Linked DNA regions of Caenorhabditis elegans. The protein of the gene in region 3 interacts with the protein of the main gene of each other region in a pairwise test. Each region holds a gene or a part of one and is shown on either strand. Other genes may lie near its edges.

Evidence for each region.
Region 1: the proteins of ced-9 (region 3) and F25F8.1 interact in a two-hybrid assay, tested with the Caenorhabditis elegans proteins (one study listed by BioGRID).
Region 2: the proteins of ced-9 (region 3) and dct-1 interact in a two-hybrid assay, tested with the Caenorhabditis elegans proteins (one study listed by BioGRID).
Region 4: the proteins of ced-9 (region 3) and fzo-1 interact in a two-hybrid assay, tested with the Caenorhabditis elegans proteins (one study listed by BioGRID).

The regions. Positions count from the first base shown.
Region 1 is NC_003279.8:4,882,254-4,887,902, forward strand, and holds the start of F25F8.1 (B box-type domain-containing protein), read left to right. Parts: upstream 1-2,649; 5' UTR 2,650-2,659; coding exon 2,660-2,796; exon of another isoform or gene 2,797-2,933; coding exon of another isoform or gene 2,934-3,122; intron 3,123-3,486; coding exon of another isoform or gene 3,487-3,662; intron 3,663-3,707; coding exon of another isoform or gene 3,708-3,774; intron 3,775-3,821; coding exon of another isoform or gene 3,822-4,006; intron 4,007-4,366; coding exon of another isoform or gene 4,367-4,610; intron 4,611-4,928; coding exon of another isoform or gene 4,929-5,000; intron 5,001-5,043; coding exon of another isoform or gene 5,044-5,187; intron 5,188-5,460; coding exon of another isoform or gene 5,461-5,649. Other genes in the region: glc-2 (Glutamate-gated chloride channel subunit beta), read right to left, coding at 2,934-3,122, 3,487-3,662, 3,708-3,774, 3,822-4,006, 4,367-4,610, 4,929-5,000, 5,044-5,187, 5,461-5,649.
Region 2 is NC_003284.9:7,951,977-7,957,231, forward strand, and holds dct-1 (NIP3 homolog), read left to right. Parts: upstream 1-2,379; 5' UTR 2,380-2,398; coding exon 2,399-2,594; intron 2,595-2,776; coding exon 2,777-3,032; intron 3,033-3,463; coding exon 3,464-3,634; intron 3,635-3,684; coding exon 3,685-3,727; 3' UTR 3,728-4,210; downstream 4,211-5,255. Other genes in the region: sfxn-2 (Sidoreflexin), read right to left, coding at 4,399-4,546, 4,591-4,693, 4,744-4,871. UniProt on the Caenorhabditis elegans protein: Initiates apoptosis in a BH3-independent mechanism possibly by recruiting ced-3 to mitochondria and other cytoplasmic membranes. Has a role in lifespan and tumor growth. Required for the induction of mitophagy under stress conditions.
Region 3 is NC_003281.10:10,332,873-10,338,324, reverse strand, and holds ced-9 (Apoptosis regulator ced-9), read right to left. Parts: upstream 3,154-5,452; coding exon 2,902-3,153; intron 2,854-2,901; coding exon 2,593-2,853; intron 2,062-2,592; coding exon 1,912-2,061; intron 1,425-1,911; coding exon 1,245-1,424; 3' UTR 803-1,244; downstream 1-802. Other genes in the region: ttr-15 (Transthyretin-like protein 15), read right to left, coding at 308-452; mev-1 (Succinate dehydrogenase cytochrome b560 subunit, mitochondrial), read right to left, coding at 3,335-3,433, 3,487-3,849, 3,961-4,047; jmjd-4 (Jumonji domain-containing protein 4), read left to right, coding at 4,307-4,490, 4,537-4,657, 4,710-4,847, 4,897-5,146, 5,197-5,452. UniProt on the Caenorhabditis elegans protein: Plays a major role in programmed cell death (PCD, apoptosis). egl-1 binds to and directly inhibits the activity of ced-9, releasing the cell death activator ced-4 from a ced-9/ced-4 containing protein complex and allowing ced-4 to activate the cell-killing caspase ced-3.
Region 4 is NC_003280.10:5,832,326-5,838,439, reverse strand, and holds fzo-1 (Transmembrane GTPase fzo-1), read left to right. Parts: upstream 1-2,236; 5' UTR 2,237-2,239; coding exon 2,240-2,312; intron 2,313-2,358; coding exon 2,359-2,484; intron 2,485-2,535; coding exon 2,536-2,753; intron 2,754-2,804; coding exon 2,805-3,912; intron 3,913-3,961; coding exon 3,962-4,073; intron 4,074-4,118; coding exon 4,119-4,589; intron 4,590-4,635; coding exon 4,636-4,770; intron 4,771-4,818; coding exon 4,819-4,900; 3' UTR 4,901-5,112; downstream 5,113-6,114. Other genes in the region: ZK1248.15 (WW domain-containing protein), read left to right, coding at 1-145, 195-332, 384-531, 580-828, 878-1,275, 1,319-1,552; gtap-1 (Dynein heavy chain 7, axonemal), read left to right, coding at 5,208-5,264, 5,310-5,429, 5,476-5,579, 5,629-5,701, 5,754-5,888, 5,934-6,114. UniProt on the Caenorhabditis elegans protein: Probable transmembrane GTPase. Mediates mitochondrial fusion. Fusion of mitochondria occurs in many cell types and constitutes an important step in mitochondria morphology, which is balanced between fusion and fission.

The DNA.
Region 1 (5,649 bases), on a different chromosome or scaffold from region 3:
AACGTTTTCGTGTACCTTGATGGTGATGCCTGAAGGCACGAGGTAGGCGAATTTGTTGCCTACACAGAATCCCCTATTACTTCCATGAGATGGATTTAGAATTTCATTTCAAATTTATGTCAGCACAAAAATAAACCTTACTTACTCATTGCACGTTTTAATGAAATTTCTTAACGAATTTTATTTTCACCTGGAAAACGTTTTAACTTGAATATTTATAAATTAATCTGCTGCAATTTCTGGAGGTGGAAATTTGTGAAATTTTGTATCAAAATAATTTTAAACTTTATTTCGAAAAAAAATCCAAAAAAAAACGTTTCAAAATGTTTGAACATATGTACTTAAAAGTTTTGATTTCAAAGGAATAAAAAATTTTCCAATAATTATCTTTTTTTTTAATTATCCGTTTCAATAACCGGATCACTTCAAAAAAATTTAATATAACAATTTTTCAAAAAGTTTGTTTCAAAAAATAATTATTTCCCAATGAATGCAATTTAACGGTTCTTGAAAATGAATGAATGCTAAATTTATTTTCAAAGTTTTCTCTGAAAAAATATGAAATGTTTAAATCTGCAACACCCAAAAATTATATGCCAAAATACAGAAAAAAGGCAGGAGGCAGGCAGGCATATAGCTTTTGGCAAATTTTCAATTAAAGGAAATCCTGTAAATGAACTGTCAATTATATTAATTCAGTTACCTAATGACCTCATACCACTTCATTATCTCTTCATCGGATCACTTCCACATACCTTCTAATATAGTTCATCCCTCCTTTCGGTTGTTACCTAATAGTTCTTTCTATGTATATACACATATTTTATTTATTTTCTTCTCCGTTATTTTCTTATTCAATTCAAAAAAGAAAGTGTAACAGGATGGGAGGAGTGTCTTTGAATGTTCTAAACCACTTTTCTCTACTCTTTTTTTTCGACACTGCTCTCGCCAATATTTGAAATTGAAAAAGTTGATTCTATTGAAAGCTTCCCCCATTTTTTTTCTTCCTATTTCGCGTTTTTGGTGTTAAAAAATTGTTGTAGGAATTTTTGAAAGTGATGGGAGATTAGTGTCAGCTTTTGCAGAAAAATTTGCATGGATATTTCTTGTAATTTACGATTCTTCCTATTTTGCATTAATGAAAACATTGAATACCAACTTTAAAATTCTCAAAAAATTACGGCCCTCCTTTATTTCCTCTCCCTCCCTCTCGAAAATCTCTCTTATCACCCGTAAAATATTTTCGGCTAATGCTGGATTACAACGCAATTTTCCAATTTTTATCTGTTTTATTTCCATTTAACGATGATGATCATCGTTGTATTTGAATAATTTGTTTCGGTTTTTGTAACCAGTTCCTCCGCCACCGCCACCAATTTTCCTTTCTTTTTTCCTATTTTTTCTCTTTCTCCCCCATTTTTGTGTCACTCACCACTGTTTTTTGTGTGTTTCTATTTTATTTTGGTGTCGTTTTCTTTGTTTTTTTTCTGGAATTTTATTTCTTTTCCAATGTTTCATAGCTGAAAATTGACGGAAAAAGTTTTCCCTTCACATTTTCAAAAACAATGTTACAGGTTTATCCATTGGAAACTTTTTCAACTTTGTTAAAACCCAGTTTTTAGAAGGTCTTTTAATATTTACAGACAATAACTTTAGCCAAAATAAATTAGACTTATCGTGGCGAGACCAGCTTTCCTACAATAGAAAATTTTAATGTTAAAGATACTTTTCAAGTTTCCGAAAATTACTGAGTTTTCAAACAAAAAAATTGCGTCACTCCAGGAGATTCTCTTTAAAGATTCTCTAAAAAAAGTTGTAATATTTGCAAATACCATTACGAAATCCATATATTATGTTGTTTATCACTTTCTTTGATTTTTGGAATTTTACTTTGGAGGTTGCGAAACTTAAGTTTCTGAACCAACTGAAGTAATAGTTAGTTTCTCCTAATTAGATTATCTTATCAGAAAAATTTCTCAATTAGGGATTTTTAAACTACAAGTTAGAAGTTACTCAAAATATTCATTAGGTTCTTCTAACCTGTGTATTATTCTATGTAAGCATTCTTTAATGGAAAGTTTCCTATCCGAAATTTGTTTTTATATTCAAGGCGTTTAGACTTGCAGGAAAGCTCAGCATTCCTTAAAATGTTTAAATTTGAAACATGTGGCGATTGTCCGAGAGATTTACTAATTTGTACCTACCGTATTTTTAAACTGGCACTTCATTACTAAACATTGGCAATTATTAGATTTTTCAAAAATATTAGTTAACTTTTTTTCTATAGGGGGGTGTAAACTTTTTTTTTAATTTCCACAGAGATTTACAACTGTAGAACCATTTTTTTTTAAGATCCAAAAAGTTAGGTCTTTCAATTTTTCATTTTATGATTCTCTCGGTTCTCCCGAAAAATTGCCAAACTTAATAAATTTCAAAAAGTCTGAAACTTTATTTTAAATTTTCTTATATTTGTAAATTTTACAGTTTTGACATTTAAAACGGGTCAAAAATTTTAAAATGTTGACAATACTCGATTTTATGTTTACCTTTCATACTTCTTCGATTCATTCAACTCATACTATTTACGCACTTTTTTCCAATTTTTTATATGTTTTCTCATTCACACTTTAATCAAATCTTGTCTTCCAGATATGCAAAGATGATAGTAGATTGTGACGATTGTGGCAAACAAATCGATTTAAATCAGTCATCAATTTCCAAGCCTTCTTCGTCAAATTCTTCGGACCATATTGTTGAATTATGGTGGTGTAGGGATTGTATATCGACTGTTTGCAAGTGAGTTTTATTTTTTATTTTTTATTTAAATTTTAAATTTCAAATTTCATTTACATATACCGGTATCAAGTATGATGTTTGCAAATTGATAGCAAATGTGGGAACAGTGGGGATTTGAAAAAAAAACAGGGGAAAATCTAAACGAGAGACTCTGGAGTGGAAGCATTGGCAGACATGATAAGACATGATACCCAGTAGATAACATTGAAAGCGAGAAAGGCAAGTGGGACGACAAATCTGGCATAGAAATCAATTTTTGCCGGTAGATAATCTGGTTTTGTGAAGTAACGGCGGACTTTGTCACGGAATGTCTCGCGGGCTTCGAACTGAAAAATTGACTTTTTTTCGCATATTTTTCTAACATATTTATGAGTATTTTTTGCAAGATTATTCCGGAATAGCGACTTTTACATAGGTTACTACACTTAAAAAAATAGCTACATACAATAACTTTTAAATGGAAAAAAGTCGACGTTTTGTGTTTTTAGTGGTATCATGCTGGAAGCTTTTTGGAAGCTGTTTGCATTTTGAATTCTTTCAATATTTGAGATCGTTTCAAAAAGTTGAATCTTTTTATTTGTCACCCAGTGAATTTATACAAAAAGTTTTTTTGTTGAATTTTTCAATAACATTGGCGAATTCCAGGACCAAAACTTTTTGATGATTGTTAAAATTCAAGGCTTAACCTACAGTATGACAGGTGCACGGTGGCTGATAGACTTCTGCATCCACCATTTCCAACTTTTCTCTCCTTCTCTGCGCCTTCCTTGCAGCTTTCTCTCTTGACCTGTCATTTTGCCGGACACTATCTTGATAACTGACAAATGCGTATTCCAGAAGTGCTCCGAATACAAATGTTTGGCACGCTGGAAGTTTCTTTGATTGTTAGATATATTAAAGGAGTTACTCACCTCCAAGCCAGACATCCACAACTTTTACGTAGCTAACTGGTGGAAGCTTGGCGTTGATTGCAGATTGCTGAAAGTTCTTTGTTGAAGTGCACAAATTATTTTTCAGTCCCTTACCATTGTAGTCATTGTAAGAAGCGTAGTGACTCCTAAAGCGACACGTCCAGCAGTTGAATGAAGATCAATCCAAAATGAAACCCATGAGACAATCACAATCATAGTGGTTGGAGCATACAGTTGTACCAAGTAATAACTGAATTGCCGTTTGAACAAAAGTTGCATTCGGAGACATCCATATGATCCTGTAAGAAATCTGGATTTAGTTCTTTATATAGGTTCTTCTCATCTTTTTGGAAAACCCCACAACTAAATTTAGCAACAATTTTTTAAACCCCCTATTTTCTATCGGAACTTGATTTCTGATTATTAATGTTTTCCCAATTTATTTGCAACAAAATTTGCCAAACTTCCCAACGGGCTTTTCTGCTCAAACCCCCAAAATACACTTCTTTCCGTGAAATCATTTGTTCAACTTTTTTCCCTTCATTTTCCCACGTCACAACAGCTATAAAATCCTCTCAAAAAGTGCAAAATCTGTTGACAAAAGCTCATATCTCTTCTCTCCCCCAATCGCCTCAAGAAGTTGCAAAAAATTTGTCTACCTGTGTTCGTGTGGCTTGTGCAATCTGCATTTGTTGTGTAGTTTTTGAGTATAAAATTGGGAAGATCCGAGCCAACGCCGGGTTTCAGTTGAACTGGTGTTGATGGATCCCACTCGTACATGATATCATTCATTGTGTGCGCGTAGCTGACAAGATCAAAGTTACACGATTGATAGTCGAGTGGGTAGAGTTGGAGACGCATTGGGCAGGAACTTGTCAAACTTATCCGGGAACTGTAGAGGATCTGAAAATTAAGGAAAAATTAGTAAATTAGAACCTGTTTTATAAAATTTTGGAAGTCAGATCTATCAAGATAAAAATCCACCGCAGATTTTGGCTCTAAAATTTTTTTACTTTGATTTTTTGAATGCGGAATTTTTCCGTTTAATTTTCAAAATCTTGTCCAGATGTGCGTTTCATTAGACATGTCATTTGATCAAGAAACTTCTTCCAAAATTGGGAATACTGGCAGTTTTCTATGCTACAAAAACAATAGGCATTTTTCAACATTTCCTTCATTTCCAGATAAAATTTCTTCAACTTAAAGTTTTCAAAAACTCACTTTTCCATCCGGATATATCCTCAAGAACATGTTTTCCATATCAATCAAATGTCTATGAGCTGCTTTTTCGGTCTGAAAATTCCAATTTTAACTTTAAAGTGAATATCAAACTAACGGGAAAGAATGTGTCAGGAATCCATAGACTCTTTTTAACATGTGGGACTGTGAGAAATGCCGGAGGATTGTAGAAACCCAAATTTTCATAGGCCAGTCGAGGATCTATCCATTGCTCGCGGAATGTTAGTTGAATTGAATATTCCTGAAACTTAGGAGTGAAGAAAGGATTTTTGTATGAACTGGAATTCGATTTTTTGTCTCCTATGATTATTATTGATATTAGCAATTTTTTCTGCTCCAGAACAAATTTCAAATTTTGGTGCTTTTTTAAAATGGAAATTGAACTGCCAAAAAAAATTATAAACACCTGTGAGAAATAATTTTTTTTGGTATTTTTTTGGTACTGTGATTTTTTAGGAAATTTTTTAATGTTATTTTTATTTAAATTAACATTTTTATTCCGAATCCAACTTACCATATTAACTACATCAATTTTCGATAGCATCCGAATCATAATATTAACACGAACATTGACAGCACCTTCCGTTGATGAGTTGGCCGGTGGTGGCCGTACCCGCATGTCATAATTTTTGAGCAACGCATTGAGAATCTCCTGCTCCGATTGCATACTGTACTCGCCATTTGTGACGACGGGCATCAGTAG
Region 2 (5,255 bases), on a different chromosome or scaffold from region 3:
AGAAAGAGCCCCCCCTGTGACTTTTCTGTTTTCCTATGCCTGATTCTCGCAAAAAAATTTCTTGTGTATCTTGAGAAGAATAATTAAGAAGTGAAGCCAGTTTTTTTTGGTTTGGCCATTCTAACTTTCTTGTCGATTTCGAATATTTTTTCAGCTTTTTCAAAAAAAAACCCACCTCAGTCTCAAAATTTTCGCAATAAGAAGTACTATTTGAAAAACTAATAAAGGTGGTATGCATTATCGTTTGTTTTTTGTCTATCCGCAAAAGCTCAATTCCAATCCTCAGAACAAAGTTTGTTTATCATTCATAAAACAAACATCAATCAAACACCTCCTTATCTATTTTTCTACCCATAGAACCATTTTTATGTCAAACTGTCTGCATCTTCTGTACCACGCATAATCTTATTTCAGTTCAATCAATCTACACCTGTGTTTCTTGAAAAACATGTTGGTCTACGTGCAACAAGTACGATCCACATGTGAACATCATATGATTGCATCACATTCGCCTGTTCAACCCTGTTATATTGGCGGATAGAGTAGATAGTAGATAATTGCGACCCAAATCTTCTTTAGTAATTTGCTATTCGTTTTATTTGTCTTAATTGTTGTGACCGGTGTCACTTGCAAGTTCGACTTTCGAAAAGTGGTGAGGTGTATCATGTGAACTTTTTGATTTTTCATGATGGGTGCCCGCCTGTCAACTCGGTTTTCGATTCAATCACATTTCCGTGCAAAATTCTGGCCAACATGACATTTAAGAAGTTCACAATCTGATCAGATTCTTATTTAATTAGTAAGACAAGTTTGTGGAAAGAAGTTTCTTAAGTTATTTCATATTAGTTTGTATGCATCAGTTTTGTTCTTCTACCTAGTTTTTCAATAATTATTTTCTCATCTACATTTTCCATTTCTTTTTTAGAAACAATATCTGGTTTGTTGGCAATACGGTCACATGTACTTCGGAAAAGCGAAAATGCGAGCGAAAAGTGAGACAGAGAGCGTCTGTGTTTGTTGGTGTATCACGCGACATAATAATATGCCTGGCTGGGTGCCAATTCTACCATTTTCCTCGAATTTCTGATTTCCTGAAATTCGCCGCAAGTTTATTGGCTTTTACTAGGATTGAGAACCTTCATTTCCCCCTTTTTTCAGTTGGTTCAAACTTTTCAGAATCTGATTTCGGAATAGTACATATTTTCCACGACTCTTTTATCTCAAAAATCAGCCACCTGACATCAATAACGTTGATTTTTTTCTTAAATATATTTCATAAATTTGCCCTGTTTCTTTTACTCTTCTCATTTCTCCACAGTAATGTTATTTTAATTGCCTTTCTTAATTTCAAATTTTTATGTCGCATCACGTGTTGCGAAAAACACCCGTCTCAAAACCACAGTTGATCACGCTGAAAGCAAGTTTGTGAGTAAAAGTAGTGAAAATGAGTAAAAAACACGCGTGAGCAGGCATCTCGTTTTCTGACTATCTAATTAGCTACACTCTTTTCCATTTAGTTCTAAAATTAGAAGAGAGAACCAATTTTTGTGAATTTCTTGAGAAAAAAAGATGGGTTGCAATATTTTTTAAAAAACATTCTCATAAATTCTTTAAAGAGAGCTATGAACCTATGCTTTATTTGAAAAATACTCAAGGGTTATCAAATAATAAAAGCCGAATACGACAAATGTTTATTAGTTCCAATCCATCAAATAAACCTTTTCCTATTTGGCAGTTGAATATATATTTGCTCACAAATATAATACATTTCTGGCTTTTGCTCTTTTTAATTCACAACTATTCTGTTCTCATATTAAATCGATTCAATCCGGTCATCTCATCTTTCTTGTCGTCCACCCACCACGAAAAACAAAACAATCGCGTCTCAAACATTCGCAGTACACCACACAGAGCGTCTCAGATAGCACAAATGTAAATAAGCAAATAAATAAATAACTGACTGGCTGACGGAATGAGGTTTCAAAATAAAGTAAAATTTAACGACTTTGTGAAAAGCAAAATATTTTCATTCGTCTCTCCAGTTTTTTTTCCGGGTATTTGCTCTGTAGAAAAGGTATTATGAAATTTTTTGTCTAACGGACCTCCTTCACTTTTGCCCCCAATTCTGTTTTATTGGAGAAAACGTTTATAAATAAACTACGCCATCTGCTTGTGTAGACTCTGAATTTGTTTGTTGATTTTGTAGAGTAGATATGAAGGACCTAGCAACACCTGCATCGTTGGGTTGCTATAACAACTCGTATTTATTGTTAACCCGTAACTACTTCGCTATTTCTTAATTTACAATTTTACAAGTTTCGATTTCTTCTCATATTTGTAAACACAATTGGTAATAATAGTATAATAGTAATGTTTCAGAGACGGGTCTTTCCTAACAATGTCCTCATTTCTTGAGTTTGCAAAACCCAAAATGCTCGATATCAAAAGAAAGATCAACTTTGCGTCCGGCGAGAAGACGGATGAGTCTGTGCAACCGCAACAGCAGACGGAGCAGTCATCGGCTCAACAGACAACACCATCCGCAAAAGCCGTCTCAAACCCATTTATCACCCCATTGACCGAGAGTACACCTGGTTTGTTTTACTTTTTTTTCATTACACTTTTGCCCTAGGCAAATCGTTAGATGAATTCTCATGTGACCGATTGGGCTTTTGATTTTTTGAAAGTACACACATCTTTGCAAGTTTACAAATTTAACACCTATTCACTTTTCACTAACTCCAACTTAAATTTCCCATGTTCTTGAACGCTTCAGGTATGTCAGAATCGTGGGTGGAACTGGCACCAAGCCGTACCAGTTTGTGCAGTAGCGTCGATATTAATATGGTGATCATTGATGAAAAAGATAAGGATTCGAGGCTGAGCCCAGTCTCAATCGCACAATCTCCTCACGTGGAATTCGAGAGCTTAGAACAAGTAAAGTACAAGTTGGTTAGAGAAATGCTTCCTCCCGGAAAGAATACTGATTGGATTTGGGATTGGAGCAGTCGGCCAGAAAATACACCTCCAAAGTAAGTTTTATAGCTACTAATGGGTTGAAAGAAGCTTAGTTATTTAGACTTCAAAATTAATTTAGAACCAGGGATGCGCTGCATTTGCTAACCAGCAGTTCTACAAAATAAGCCAGCATGGCATGTTCTCAAAATAATTCTAAAAAACGCAGATACATTGTTGAAAGATTAAAACTGCTAGAGAAAAGTTACATAGTTTGTCGGACTATTTTCAGTAATTTTCAACTTTCAATCTAAACTAAAATATGTTTGCTAATTGAAAATTTTCTAAAAGAGATTTTTTGAAAATACTTTTATATTCCATACCTAAATGTTACTGAAAATATTGGAAGAACATGTTGCAAGGTTCAATTTGTAGAATTGCTAGTCGACACCCCTGCTCAAACCATACCGATTTTATTCTGTGTTGAAAAAAAAAACAAAATTTGCAGGACTGTCCGTATGGTTCAATATGGCTCCAACCTTACCACTCCGCCAAACTCTCCCGAGCCAGAGCTCTACCAATACTTGCCATGCGAATCTGATTCGCTTTTCAACGTTCGCGTAGTCTTTGGTTTCTTAGTCACCAACATCTTCAGCTTTGTCGTTGGAGCAGCAGTAGGGTAAGTATTTTTTTCAGGAAATTTCTTCCAGAAAAACTGATTGTCTTCAGATTTGCTGTTTGCCGGAAACTAATCAAACATCATCGTCAATAATTCCAAACAAAAATTTTAACGTTCCACTTACCTCATTTCACTGTACATACATTCCAGCAGTGCTGGAGATTGGGCATTTTTACCCTTTGATTCACAATACTACATTCTCTGCAAAATTCTTCCGGAGTCTTCTTGCATCTTGTCAAAAAGATTCGAATAAACAATAATTTTGCCATGTTTCCCTTCTCTCCAAATTGTCATCTTTCAAACTGTCTCCTGAATATTCCTAATACTCAAAACATTCCTACTACAGTTTTGAATTCAACACATCTAATCGCGATTTGCTCTCACGATTAGGTAATTTTAAATTAATTATGTACATAATATAGCTTTATACACTGAATGTAATTACGACTTTTTCTTTGCTGTTACCTGGGCATTTTGATTCTGAAACTTGCTTTTCCATGTTTTTCTGTCATCACAAATTGTAAATATTTCTAAAATACTGTTACAAAACCACGCATTTTAATAAAATGTAAATATATTTTTGTTTAGTTATGATTAAATTTATTATGCTGGAATTTTTAAAAACTGATAAGTAGACAATTGCACAGATGTTATTAATTGCACAATTCAAGAAATGTCTACAACGAATCATTCTAAATACCAATTTGCACGGAAATAAATTAAGCTGAAATCTATGTTTAGTTAACTAAAAGCTCATAAATCGCTTATAATCCTTTGTTGAAGTACACTCGATCTCCCTTGATATTTTTCAGTTTTTCAAAGGCTTCGGGCTCCCATCTTTTCAATGTTGAAAGCTTCACAGAGTTTTGCTGAGGGAAGAGAGCGCATCCGACAGGAATCATTGCACCATAACTAAAATTCACATTTGTTGTCTAGAAATATGACTGCTCTCTCACATCACAAAAGTTAAAGCCAATTGAGTTGGAATGTTGAGTTTGTTGATATGCTTCCGGAATGAGGCCACTTTGTTCAAGCCTTCCATGATGACAGGAGTGAGGACTAAAATGAGGCATGAAGCATGACAGGAAAAGAGTAACGGCTAAACTCACTCATGCATGGGGCAACGATAATATTTCTGGAGAGAACCACCAGGGAGATGGCTTTAGCTGCGGCTAACCGGGAAACTCCAACGTTGTTTCCATCGGCATCAGTGACAGTCATACCTTCTTTGAGTTCACTTTAAAAAAATGATTTAAAGAACTTTTTGAAGAGTCAACATTTCCACTATTTAAATTCAACTCATAAAATTATACCCATATGCCAACAATAACGTGAAAAACCTCAATTTATAGGTCAACACATTTCCGAATTTTTTTTACGGTTTCTAGTTGAATACAAAAGTAGATGGTCTTCAGTTTACAAAATAAAAATACCATAATGGTTCAGCTGCAACATCATAGACAGCCTTATTTTAGAAAATCCAGTTTTTCATTGACCTCTCTTCATTATTAATAACTTATTGCATATAAGAAAAAAGTCAAAAGCGGAATGATTTTAGGAGTTTTACGTTTTGATTTTAATTTTGAATGGGTTTCAAAATAAATCACTGATAAGAAAGCAA
Region 3 (5,452 bases):
ATCGATGAAAAGTCCGCAACAACAGAAGTTTCAAACTACAGCACTCTTTAAAGGCGCACATCTTTTTGAATTTAACAAAAATGTTTCGTGTCGAGACCAGGTATCGTATTTTAAGCTCAAAAATCGCAAAATTTCGTGTAAAGAACGTTTGGGGATGAATATGAAAATTTCAAATACAAATTATTGAGAAATCTCGTGTAAAGCTGTGCAATTCGGCTTTCTTTTGAAAACAGGTGGAAAACTTCAATTTTTAGGCCTTTTTAGTCCTTTTTAAGCCGTTTCAAGCTAAACAAGACTGAAAACTCACGAGTATCTTTCTCCCAAAGGGTAACCTCCGCCTGAATTCTCTTCTTATTACAAATAGTTGTACCCTTGACAGTGATAGTCTGCTTCTTTGCCTCAACAAAAGCCAAAGCCAAAAGAACAACAGAGGTGAATAGTAAAGCACGCATTGTTGTTTTTTGAATCGTGCACTAACGTTTTTTGTTTTATATACCGACAAAATTCAAGGGAATCAAAATGGGCGGAGCCTATCTGATGGTGAAACAGCGATAAGGCGGGGGGATCGTTTACACTAAACAAAAACATTTTTGTTTCGAAAAATTCAAGGCCATCGAATTGACCGTCGTCTCGAGACAGAAGAGGCGAGAAAGATGAATCATTATATTAAAAAATGATATTTTCCTACTAAACTTTTTTGGATGACGTGATGGCGAAAATGAAAACCGGATTCTCTTGCGCACGCCTATTATCAAAATTGCAGTTTCGTTCCGAAAAAAGGGTTGAATAAAAGAACCGTTTTTTTTGTTGTTGTAGAGAGAAAACAATTTGAAAAAAATAAATACAAAGTCGCGTACGCGTACAGGAATTTGGGGGGAGTTGGAAGAGGCCACACGAAAAGAGACAGTTAAAGTGAAGATGAATTATTGAGATACAGGGGTACTTTGGAAATGTGGAAGAGAAGCGGGAGGCTAGGCCACGGCGAGAAAAGTTAGGGTTTCAGGGTTTTTGACGAAATGTACAGAACACGGAAAAGTTGATATTACGCGGAAGTAGGGTTTGGCCAAAAAAAAAGGCAATCGGAAAAAATTGCAGTAAAATCGTAAATCGACACAGAGAGCCGTAATTTGTGGCCTAGCTTTCCCACTTCTTCCAGTTCAAAGGATGAGAGAATCAGTGAGCAAAAATGAGATTCAAATGTAAGGAGTTGTACATAAATTAATTATTTACACAAATTGAATACGTTACTTCAAGCTGAACATCATCCGCCCACACACGACGACTCCAACGATTCCAATGGCTCCAGCTGTTACTCCAGCGCCAATCATCGACCACCGTCTGTTCTGCTTCCGGCGTCCCACTTTTTCAGCTTCTGCTCGTTCGTAGTCCTCTTTCATTTGTTTTCCGAGTGTCATGAAGTCGTCCTGCAATTTTTTTCTTGATTTTTTATTTTCACAAATAATGCTTTAGAGCATATTCCGGGGAACACAAAAATCCGTGAATGCGTATTTCACAACATATTTGAGGCGGAAATATCTCGTAGCGAAAACTACAGTAATTCTTTAAATGCCTACTGTAGTCGATTTACGGGCTCGATTTTTGAAATTAATTTCTTTTGATTAGTGGTTATTTTCTTTAATTGTAAAAATTTTAAAAATTTAAAGAATTACTGTAGTTTTCTCTACTGGATATTTTGCGCGTCAAATATGTTGTGAAATACGCATTCTGCGAATTTTGTATTCCCGTAACAATAACATTATCATAAACAGTAATATACTTGAATATGTTTCCAGCTGTCCCCCCAAGAGGCTACCGAACCCTGTAATTATCGGCTTACCAACACCCCGGGAAGTCAAGGGTACTAGGGAAAGGGGGATATTGACTTCTAATGTCTATGCAAATACTCCTTACCCAGCTCCGATTGTGTTCCTTCCAGTTGTTGCGGATCCGCGTTTTGATGAACAGCGATGTGTAAACGAAGAGGTTTCGCACTTGTCCCTGCAGTTCCACGGATTCCATCATTTTTGCAGCTACGAAACCGCCGAACGAGATTAGACCTATCTGAAAATTAGAAATTTGCAATTTAATTCGTTCATTTCTGGCGGAAAATTAAGCTTAAAAAAACGATTTTTCTGGTTTTTAATGTTCGAAAATTGAATTTTTGGGGTTTTTCGTTCAGCAAATCAGCAGAAAAACCTGTTTTTCGAAGAAAAAAGTTCAAAAATCGAATTTTAATGTATTTTCCACAAATTTTACATTTAAAAACCGATTTTTGATAAATCAGCAGATCTTTTTCGCAAATACAAATCAAGGAAAATATGCTTTAAAAATATTCGAATAGAAAATAACGTTTTTAATCGAATTCGTAAAGTTTTCTGCTAATTTATCAACAAAAAAAATTACAATCCGGGATCAAAATTCGTGGTTTTTTAATGGAAAACTTTCAAAAAAGACACATAATTGGGCTATTTTTGACCAAGTTTTGCTGATTTCCTGAAGGAAAACAAACAATTTTTGCAAATGTTTTTTCTGCCACCTTTCTGGCGAATTTTCGAATTTTTGCAAACTTTTTTTCAGTATTTTCTCCCTTACCAAACGTCCATAAGACATTGGACATTGATCTGTCTGTGCATTTCCAACCGTCCGAACCACATCCTGATACAGTGAAAATGAGATTCTGGGCACTGCGAGCAGCTGCTCACAGAAGGTCTCAAAATTTTCCGCGTGCTTCTTCTCGAATATCGTTCCCATAACTCGCATCATTTCGTGCTCCGGTTGCACTCCACACGGCAATCCCGGTGCTCCAAACCATTCCATTCCGTTTTGCCGGATTCGGTGCGTGAAATAGTCGACCTGGAAGCAGCAGGAAATTTTATTTACAAAAAAAAATTAAAAAATTACCACAAATCCCTCGATATCAAGCCTTGGCTCTTCCCAATCATTGATTTTTCCATCAATTGACTCTCCGATGGACATTCTTCGCGTCGAAGCCTGCCTACTCGGTGATGGCAAGTCCTGAGCATCACTATTGATTCCAAAATCGGTGGGCTCTGTGCCTTTTATCCCCAGAAACTCCTTCATCTCGCCAGTCGCCATCGTTCGTCGCCGATACGCCGGATTCGTCAGCGAGTTGTCCGCCGTGCAGCGTGTCATCTAAAATTTTTATTCGTTTTCATAATCATAATATACATTCTAGACAGAGAAAAAAAAACGAAGAGGAGAGGTAAATCTACGGAAAAGAGAGAAAATCGAAGAAATCAACGGTAAAAGTAAATTGACGAGAATTGTCGAGGGCTGGGGCGGAGTAAGAAAAAAGAAGGCGGAGCATCTGTGCCTAGGCAGTCTTGTTGCTCTTGTTCTGGCAAGAGTTGAAGACAATGGCGAGAGCAAGAATAGCCGAAAGTCCAGATACGAGATATCCCGATTTGTAGATCTGAAAATTAATTTTTATTTTAAAACAATTAAATTAATAATTTCAACTCCTACCTGTCCAACATTATTGACTCCCTTAGCCAAATCGAATCCTAAGAAGCGAATTCCGTTAAGAGTATGGAAAATGATGGGGAAAGCAATGATGTACTTGAAGACAGCGGTCACCGCGCATGGTAAGTTCCAGCTACGGATGAAATCCACAAAAGCGGTGAAATCGAACGGCAAAACTGCGAATCCGATTCCTCCGACGAGAAGGGTTCCGGCCATTACACAACCGCTGATTCTATGGAATCCGGAGAGCATCCAGGTCAATTGTGGCTGGTAGACGGTGAGATGTGGAGCGATTGGGCGATTCTTGGAGCGCTGCTTCAACAGGTATTCCCATCCGAACTTCTGGATTGGCGTCTTTGCCTCGGACTGTGAATATTATAAATAATTAATTGAAAAGAATGTGTCTGTTATACATTTCTCCTTCATGCGTACACAAAAAATCAACAATTTTCACGGAAAAATTCAAAAAATCCCCACCTTGGTGACGATCGATGTTCCAAAGGAGCGGGAAATCGACGATCTGGCGCCCAAGCGGCACAGAATCGCAGTTGGAATGTTAATCATCCTGAAACAATGCTGATTTTCTTATCAAAATTGAAAAAAGAAACAGGGCGGTGCGTTTCAAAACAAGTGTTGAATTTTGTTGCGGAAATGCACGCACAGGGCACGAGAAGTGCGCCAGCAGCGCGTCTCGTTTGAAGAGATGCGTCAGCAAACGACCCGGGCGCACTTTTCGACTTGTTTTTTGTTCTTTTTTTGTTTTTTTTGTTGCATTTTCTGTGATTTTCTTTGAATAATTATTTTTTCCATTGCAAATTTCAAGATGAAATCTAAAATTCCTCGAATTTCTGATCCATCGACTCCATGGCTAGAGATTTTAGTAAAATTCGGCTTCAAAAATGAGCCTTTTATCCTTGGCGAGTGGAGCACTTCTGGCTGGACAGCCGTTAAAGATTGGGTGCTTCCAAATGGACAGCCAAATAAGGAATATTTGAAAAAGTCCTATGGTTTGTCTGGATAGTTTTTTGTTATGAAAATCCCGTTTCGCTCCAGGAGATTCGAAAGTTCCTATTCTTTGCGGAGGAAATCAGTACAAAACCACTACTTTGAAGGAATTTCTGGAAGAAATGGGCGATCCAGAAGTTTACTTAAAGGATTGGCATTTTCAAAACGAGTAGGAGTTGAATTTCAATTCGAAATTGATTTTTTTAAATTAAAATATTTAGATTCGGAACCTCTTCATACTCCTTGCATCCTTTCTTTTCTCGAGATTTTGTAAATTGTGAGCCATGGACTAGTGAGAAATCGGAAAATCCATTTGGTGACGACTATCGATTCGTTTATATCGGAGCTTCTGGATCCTGGTAGCCTTGGAATTTTCTTAAAAATTAGAAATCCCCTCAAACTTTCTAGGACAAAACTTCATTCCGACGTAGTTTCATCGCATAGCTGGTCAGCGAATATTTGCGGCAGAAAACAGTGGTTTATGATGCCCCCAGGCAGTGAAAATCTGTTTCGGAGCAGCGTTACAGAGTCGGGGTTTGTGGATGACATTCGGGAGTATGAACGGCTATTCGAGCAGGCAAAAGTGATAAAATTCGTTCAAGAGCCCGGAGAAATTGTGTTTGTCCCATCTAATTGGTACCATCAGGCCCACAATTTGGTATATCAACTATTTATCTCTCAGTTTAGAAGGACATCATTTAATTCCAGGAAGACACAATTTCCATCAATCATAACTGGATGAACAGCACGAATCTTCATCTAGTACAGGAGTTTTTGAGCCGGAGGGAGCTAGATGTTCGTGAGGAGCTCCAGGATTGTGTAGATCTGTTTTCCGCCGAGGAATTTGAAGAAAAAGTGGATCTTGTGTTGTTCGCCGACGCTAGACTTAATAATTCAAAGTTTCGAAAGCTGTGTGAGCTTGTAAAAGAATCTAGAAGTCATGAAGTTGGGGAATTATTTGAAT
Region 4 (6,114 bases), on a different chromosome or scaffold from region 3:
TTATACGAATGATAAGACAAAAGAAAGTTTATGGGATCATCCAAACACCCGAAAAAATGAGGAAAAATCTCCGGTTAAAGCGAAAACGAGAAAACGGAAAGATGTAGAGGAAAATATCCATGGGACCATGGATGATGATAAAATGGTAACTATTAATTATCAATTAACAGATTAATTTATTCATTAAAATTTAGGAAGTCGATGTGGTACCCCCGCCAAAGCGGAAGTCTATGGAGAAGTTGGATGATGAAGAGTTTTCATGGAAGAGGCCAAGAAGATCGGACAGTTCGGAGAGAATAACGAAAAAAGAAGACATTCCCAGCTGCAGTGGCGTTAGTGTTGATATAATTATTAAGCTCTTTTAAAATAAAAATCAGTTGCAGGTAGAATCTCATTCCAATAAAATGCTACCACGTGTTCCATGGTCTTCTGAAGTTCGACCATTCAAAGATTTGCATTATCGTGCGTGTGCCATATTCGATACCTGTGCTCTTCTGGGAAATCCTGATGTTCTCAATGCTTCCATCGAAAGTAAAATATAGAGAATGATATTATTATTGAAATTTCTATTATTTTCAGAACAAATTCTCACAGTCATTCCATATTTTACATTATCTGAGCTAGATGGTCTTAAAAACGGATCAGGACACACTCGAATTGTAGCTAATTGTGCAAATAATAGTATAAAAGATCTTCTGGAAGAGAAGAATCAGTACTTGCATGTCGAGACGAGCACAGAGCAACAGATTCAGATAAACGGCTTCAGTGCAAACACAACTGTTGTAGATGATTTGATTCTAAGAACTGCATTGCGAATAAAAAGAGAAAGTAAGTTTTTTTCTTAAATTAAGATTCGAGAATATACCACAATTTTCAGTAATGTCAATTCCATCTACAATGAACCTCAATGATCGTGCTATTATACTCGTCACCGAGGATGTGAATCTTTCAAACAAAGCACTGACTCATGATCTGCACGTTGAGACAGTTAAATCATTCATGGACACCATTCATGGTCGGAAGAAACAACAAACGGATTCGGATCAACTAAATAGTTCAAGGAAGTCTTCGAATTCTGATAGAAGACAAACTACTAGGAAAGAACATCATGCTAATTCTCATTCTAACAAATACACTAGCAACGACATAAAATACAAAAGGAACGAAGCTGTTAAAAGTGTAAAGAAACATCGCGAATTGGAAAGTTGGATCAACGACTTAGCCAAAAAAGATGCTGGTCGCAATGCTGGTTTTGTTAAAGAAAACAAAGTAGAGGTAACAAAAAATTATTATTTTGTAAATTAAAATATGTTTTCAGGCTCCCAGAAAATCTCGACCATCGATCCCACTAGCAGACGAGATCACTCTTCAACCGTCTTCCTCAAACTCGGAATCATTTAAACCAAGAAAGACATATCCCTCATCAACATATCAATCATCTCAAAATGGAAACGTAGTCAAGACGACCAAGCCAAATAGTAATCGCCCAAAAATTCCGTTAAGCCTTTCGGATGACGAATGTACCTTCAACGACAATATGGATTGTTCCTGAATATTGTTTCCTATTTATAATTATGATTTTTCTGCATTCCTGCATCCGGTCTCATTGCATGTACGGTGTACTTTAGTGAATTATTTAGTGAATAAATGTTTTTTATGTTTTTTTTTACTTCAAACTTAATAGAATACCGCTAAATCAATAGAAATGTTTCGATTGTTTTTGCTTTCTAAATATATAAATCCAAAAAGCAATCAGAAGTTTAAGAAGAGACACTGCAGAATTTCAAGAACGGGGGCTTGCTGATTAAAAAATTTGCAGCAAGCATTATTCACAAATTTTCTACAAACTGCTTTCATAAAGTTTATTTATATCTTTTAATGTTTAAAACGGCAATTTAAAGCACAGTAACTTTTCTTAATCAAAAATAGTTCGATAGACAACTAATTTTTCTCACAAATCGTTGTCTCCCGATAATCGATTCTTTTGTGTACAGAGAGCGCGCTCCAGTGAACATTCTTTTTTTGCTCGCGACGGAGACAGAAATGGAAATTCTCTGATAATTCGAGTGTTCCTTTTCATTTTTTTTTATTATTCCAATGAATAATTTGATGTTTGTATAACCTTTTCGATATTTCAAATAAGATTTAATGTTTTCTAGACTTTTAAGCGATTTCGTAATCCTCGAATCGAATTTCCGGCTGATTTATGAGACTTTAAATATATTTAAGTTTTCAGGTAATGTCTGGCACAGCAAGCTTAGTTCATACTCTGCCGGCCAGTGGTGATTCTAATCATCGTGGACTTCACAGCTGTATGTTTATTCAACCTTTCAAAAAACAATGCAATAAACTTTTCAGTGAAAAATTCGCGTCGTGCTGCCGATAATGAACCACTTCTTCGATTTCGAGAAGCTAAAAAGGTTCTTGGGGATGTCTATGGAGAACTGAAAGACAATGTGGCTGAACTAGAAGGTGTTTACAAAGGTATTTTCTGTTTTTTACTTCGCCGCAAATATAAACCCACAAAAGTTCCAGATATTAAAGAGAACGACTTTGTTAGTTCTGAACAGCGGGAAGAAATCGAAGCAATTGGCGATTCAATCAAAACTATAATGGACACATTTCAAAGAGATAACATGAAGGTTGTATTTTTCGGAAGAACCAGCAACGGAAAGAGTACAACTATCAATGCGATGCTTCATGAGAAAGTGTTGCCCCAGGGAATGGGACATACAACATGTTGCTTTCTGCAGGTGAGAATCACTTTTTTTTCATATTTTATTGTAAATTTTTGAAATTTCCAGGTTGAAGGTTCAGAAGGCGAAGTTGGCCATCTACAATTAGATGATAATCCCCAAAAGATTGATATGAAAATGCTTGGAAAAATTGGACACGCACTGAGTGACGAAAATTCAGATCTTCCGGCAATGGGACAGGATTCTCTTTTGAAAGTGTTTCATCCAAAGAAATCGGAATCAGGGGAATGCCGACTTCTTCAAAACGACGTCGTCATACTTGATAGCCCTGGTGTCGATCTTTCTCCAGAATTCGATAGCTGGATTGACAAACATTGTTTAGATGCAGATGTATTTGTGCTTGTATCAAATGCGGAATCAACATTGACACAAGCCGAAAAGAACTTCTTCCTTCGAGTCGCGAAGAAGCTTAGCAAGCCCAACGTATTTATTCTCAATAATCGATGGGACGCCAGTGCAGCAGAAACAGAAAACATCGAAGATGTAAAAAAGCAGCATTTGACGAGATTCCGTCAGTTTTTGGTCGATGAGCTTGAAGTGTGCTCAGAAAGAGAAGTCAATGATCGAATCTTCTTTGTTTCATCGAGAGAAGTTTTGGAATCACGATTAAAAGCTAGGGGACTGGTACAAAAAGCCTATCAAGCAGAAGGTCATGGCACAAGAGCCTTGGAATTCCAAAATTTCGAACGACATTTTGAGCATTGTATCTCTCGATCGGCGATTCACACGAAATTCGAAGCTCATAACAGGAGAGCTCATGAAATGATCGGAAAAATGCGGCTCAATCTGAATAGCGTGCTAACCTCTGCAGCTGAGCAGAGAAGCAAGCTTCAGAATAATCTAAACGAATCCACCAGGACTTTCAATGAATGCCGTGTAAACTTCACTCAATTTGAAAAAGCTTACCGTGAGCAGACAGAGCAACTGCGAGCCGAAGTTCATCTGAAAGTTTCTGCTGATTTCTTTGAAGAAATAGCACGACTTGATGCAATAATTGATCGATTTGAACAACCTTTCGATGGAAGCTCTTCCGGAATGACAAAGTATAAAGAGGATTTGGCAATCTTTGTGGACAAATGTTTGAGCAGTGATTTGGAAGCTAGATGTACCGGTGGCCTAATGTCAAGAATTTGGAATTTGGAGAATGATATGTTCCGTAAGTGTTTATCTGGGAACTGATGTGTTATAAAAAATTTTTTTTCCAGAATATGTGACAAAAATCCTCGCCGAACCTTATCAGAATAAGCTTGAAGAAGTGTGGCGATATCGTGCTCCTTTCAAATTTAGCATTTGTGTCGATGTCCCTGCTCTTGTCAAGTGAGTTTCGATGGATTTTTTGTGTTTCATTCTTACATTTTTCAGTGATTTCCATGAAGACCTCGAGTTCCGATTCACATTTGGTCTACACGCAATAATTCGTCGCATCATTGCGTATCGAAGCGGCCAACCTGTCACTGCAATCAACACCAATTTGCTTACTCCATTATCACTAAAACAACAATCCGAAAAGAATTCAGTGAGAGATGCAGAAGCTTCTGCAGCTTCCGAAGAACAGGCAATGATGACTCAAATGGTTTTGACATCAGCCGCATTTTTAGCAAACGGAAGTCTTGGAGTGCTAGTTGTTGGTGGTATTGTGTATAAGGCTGTTGGTTGGAGAGTAATTGCTGTCGGAGGAGCGGCCTACGCTGGACTATATGCATGGGAACGAATGCGCTGGAATTCGGGAGCCAAGGAACAACATTTGAAAGAACAGTTCAGATCACATTTAGCTGCTCGAATGCAACAAGTTTCAACAGCTCATACTCATCACTGTGAAACACAAGCTATCAGGTATTTTTTAAACCGTATAGTTTTCAATTCAATTTGTTGTTTTCAGAGAAATGGACCAAGTCTTTGACGGATTGAAAGCAACTGTTGGTGGAGTCCATAGAGAAATGAAAAACGATTTGGATGTACAGAAGACACAAATTGATGCAGTTGATTCAACAATTCGAACATTGGGAACAATCAAGTATGTCCTCTTAGATCTGTGTCAAGAATTAATAAAATTAATTTTCAGAGGAAAAGCAGTGTTTCTTCTCCGAAATCTCGAACAATTTGCATCTTCTTATCTCCGATCGGACTCTCCGCCAACGCCATGAAAATGACTAGTCTGAATTTAACTAATTTTGGTGCTTTTCCCCTTATTCACTCAGTCCTATAGCTTTTAATTCGAACGATTGGTAATCGGTTCAATGTAGATATTTTGATGAGCTGTTTTCTCGTTATTTCTAGACAATTTCAGTAGTTTTAGTGTTTTGATTATGATACTTCTATGAGACGAATAATAATTCGAATAAATTTTTGTCGTTTGATTTTTGAGAAGATATTCAATTATCTGTATTTATATTCATCAGAATTTCTATTTATGTGTTGTGGTATTTGAAAATAGGAAAATATAATTCAGGTATGAATGAAGACGACGATGTTGGAATTTCTGTGGAATTCGATCAATGCACGCAGGAGGTACTGTAGGGAACCAAATATAGAAATAGTTAGAACAAATTTCAGACAATGTTCTACAATTCTTGTCTAGAAGATCGTGACGAAGGAGGAAGCGGAGACATCTCACGTGCTGATTCTGCAGTATGTCTCACGACACCTAGAGATCCGTTTCCAGCTGTTCTACAGGTAATTGAAGATGAACGAAAACTTTTTATAAACTGTTTTTTTTTAGAAGTTCAACTCATCTCGTAAGAATCATCAAATAAAAAAGTTTCATGATAGCAATGTAAAACGATGTCAAGAGTACAGAAAGAGTATGGAACATCAAAGAAATGGGTAAGAAATTCGGATTTTCAAAAACGAATATTAATCATTTTATTTTGAGAACAGACAGTTATTTGCTCACTCAACAACGGCTCGCTGTTCATCTCATCGACTTTATTGATTTACCTGTTAAAGTTAGTTCAAAAACTAAAATAATTTTTATCAAAAATAAACGTTATAATTCAGAAAAATACTCAACGAAGAATATGCACTGATCGTGTGTCGATGCCTCTATACAGATTGACGTCTGGTGGTCTTGAAGTGAACTCGGATTATTATTTTCCAATGGAATCTCCGTATGCGAATATTCAAAAATCTTATGTAAATTTTTAATATTTCTTCTATCAATTATTTAAGTTATTTTAGCTACGAACACTGGCCGACCACCTCACTCGAACTCATCGGAAGCTTAACGAAATATGTGAATTTGTGGAGAGATGTGAAGAACACAGTCAACTGATGCTTCCGACACTGATTACTGTACTCTGTGATTGGGTGAAACAATTTCTTAGAGATCACGCTTGTCATCTCGACGAACTTCGTGCTG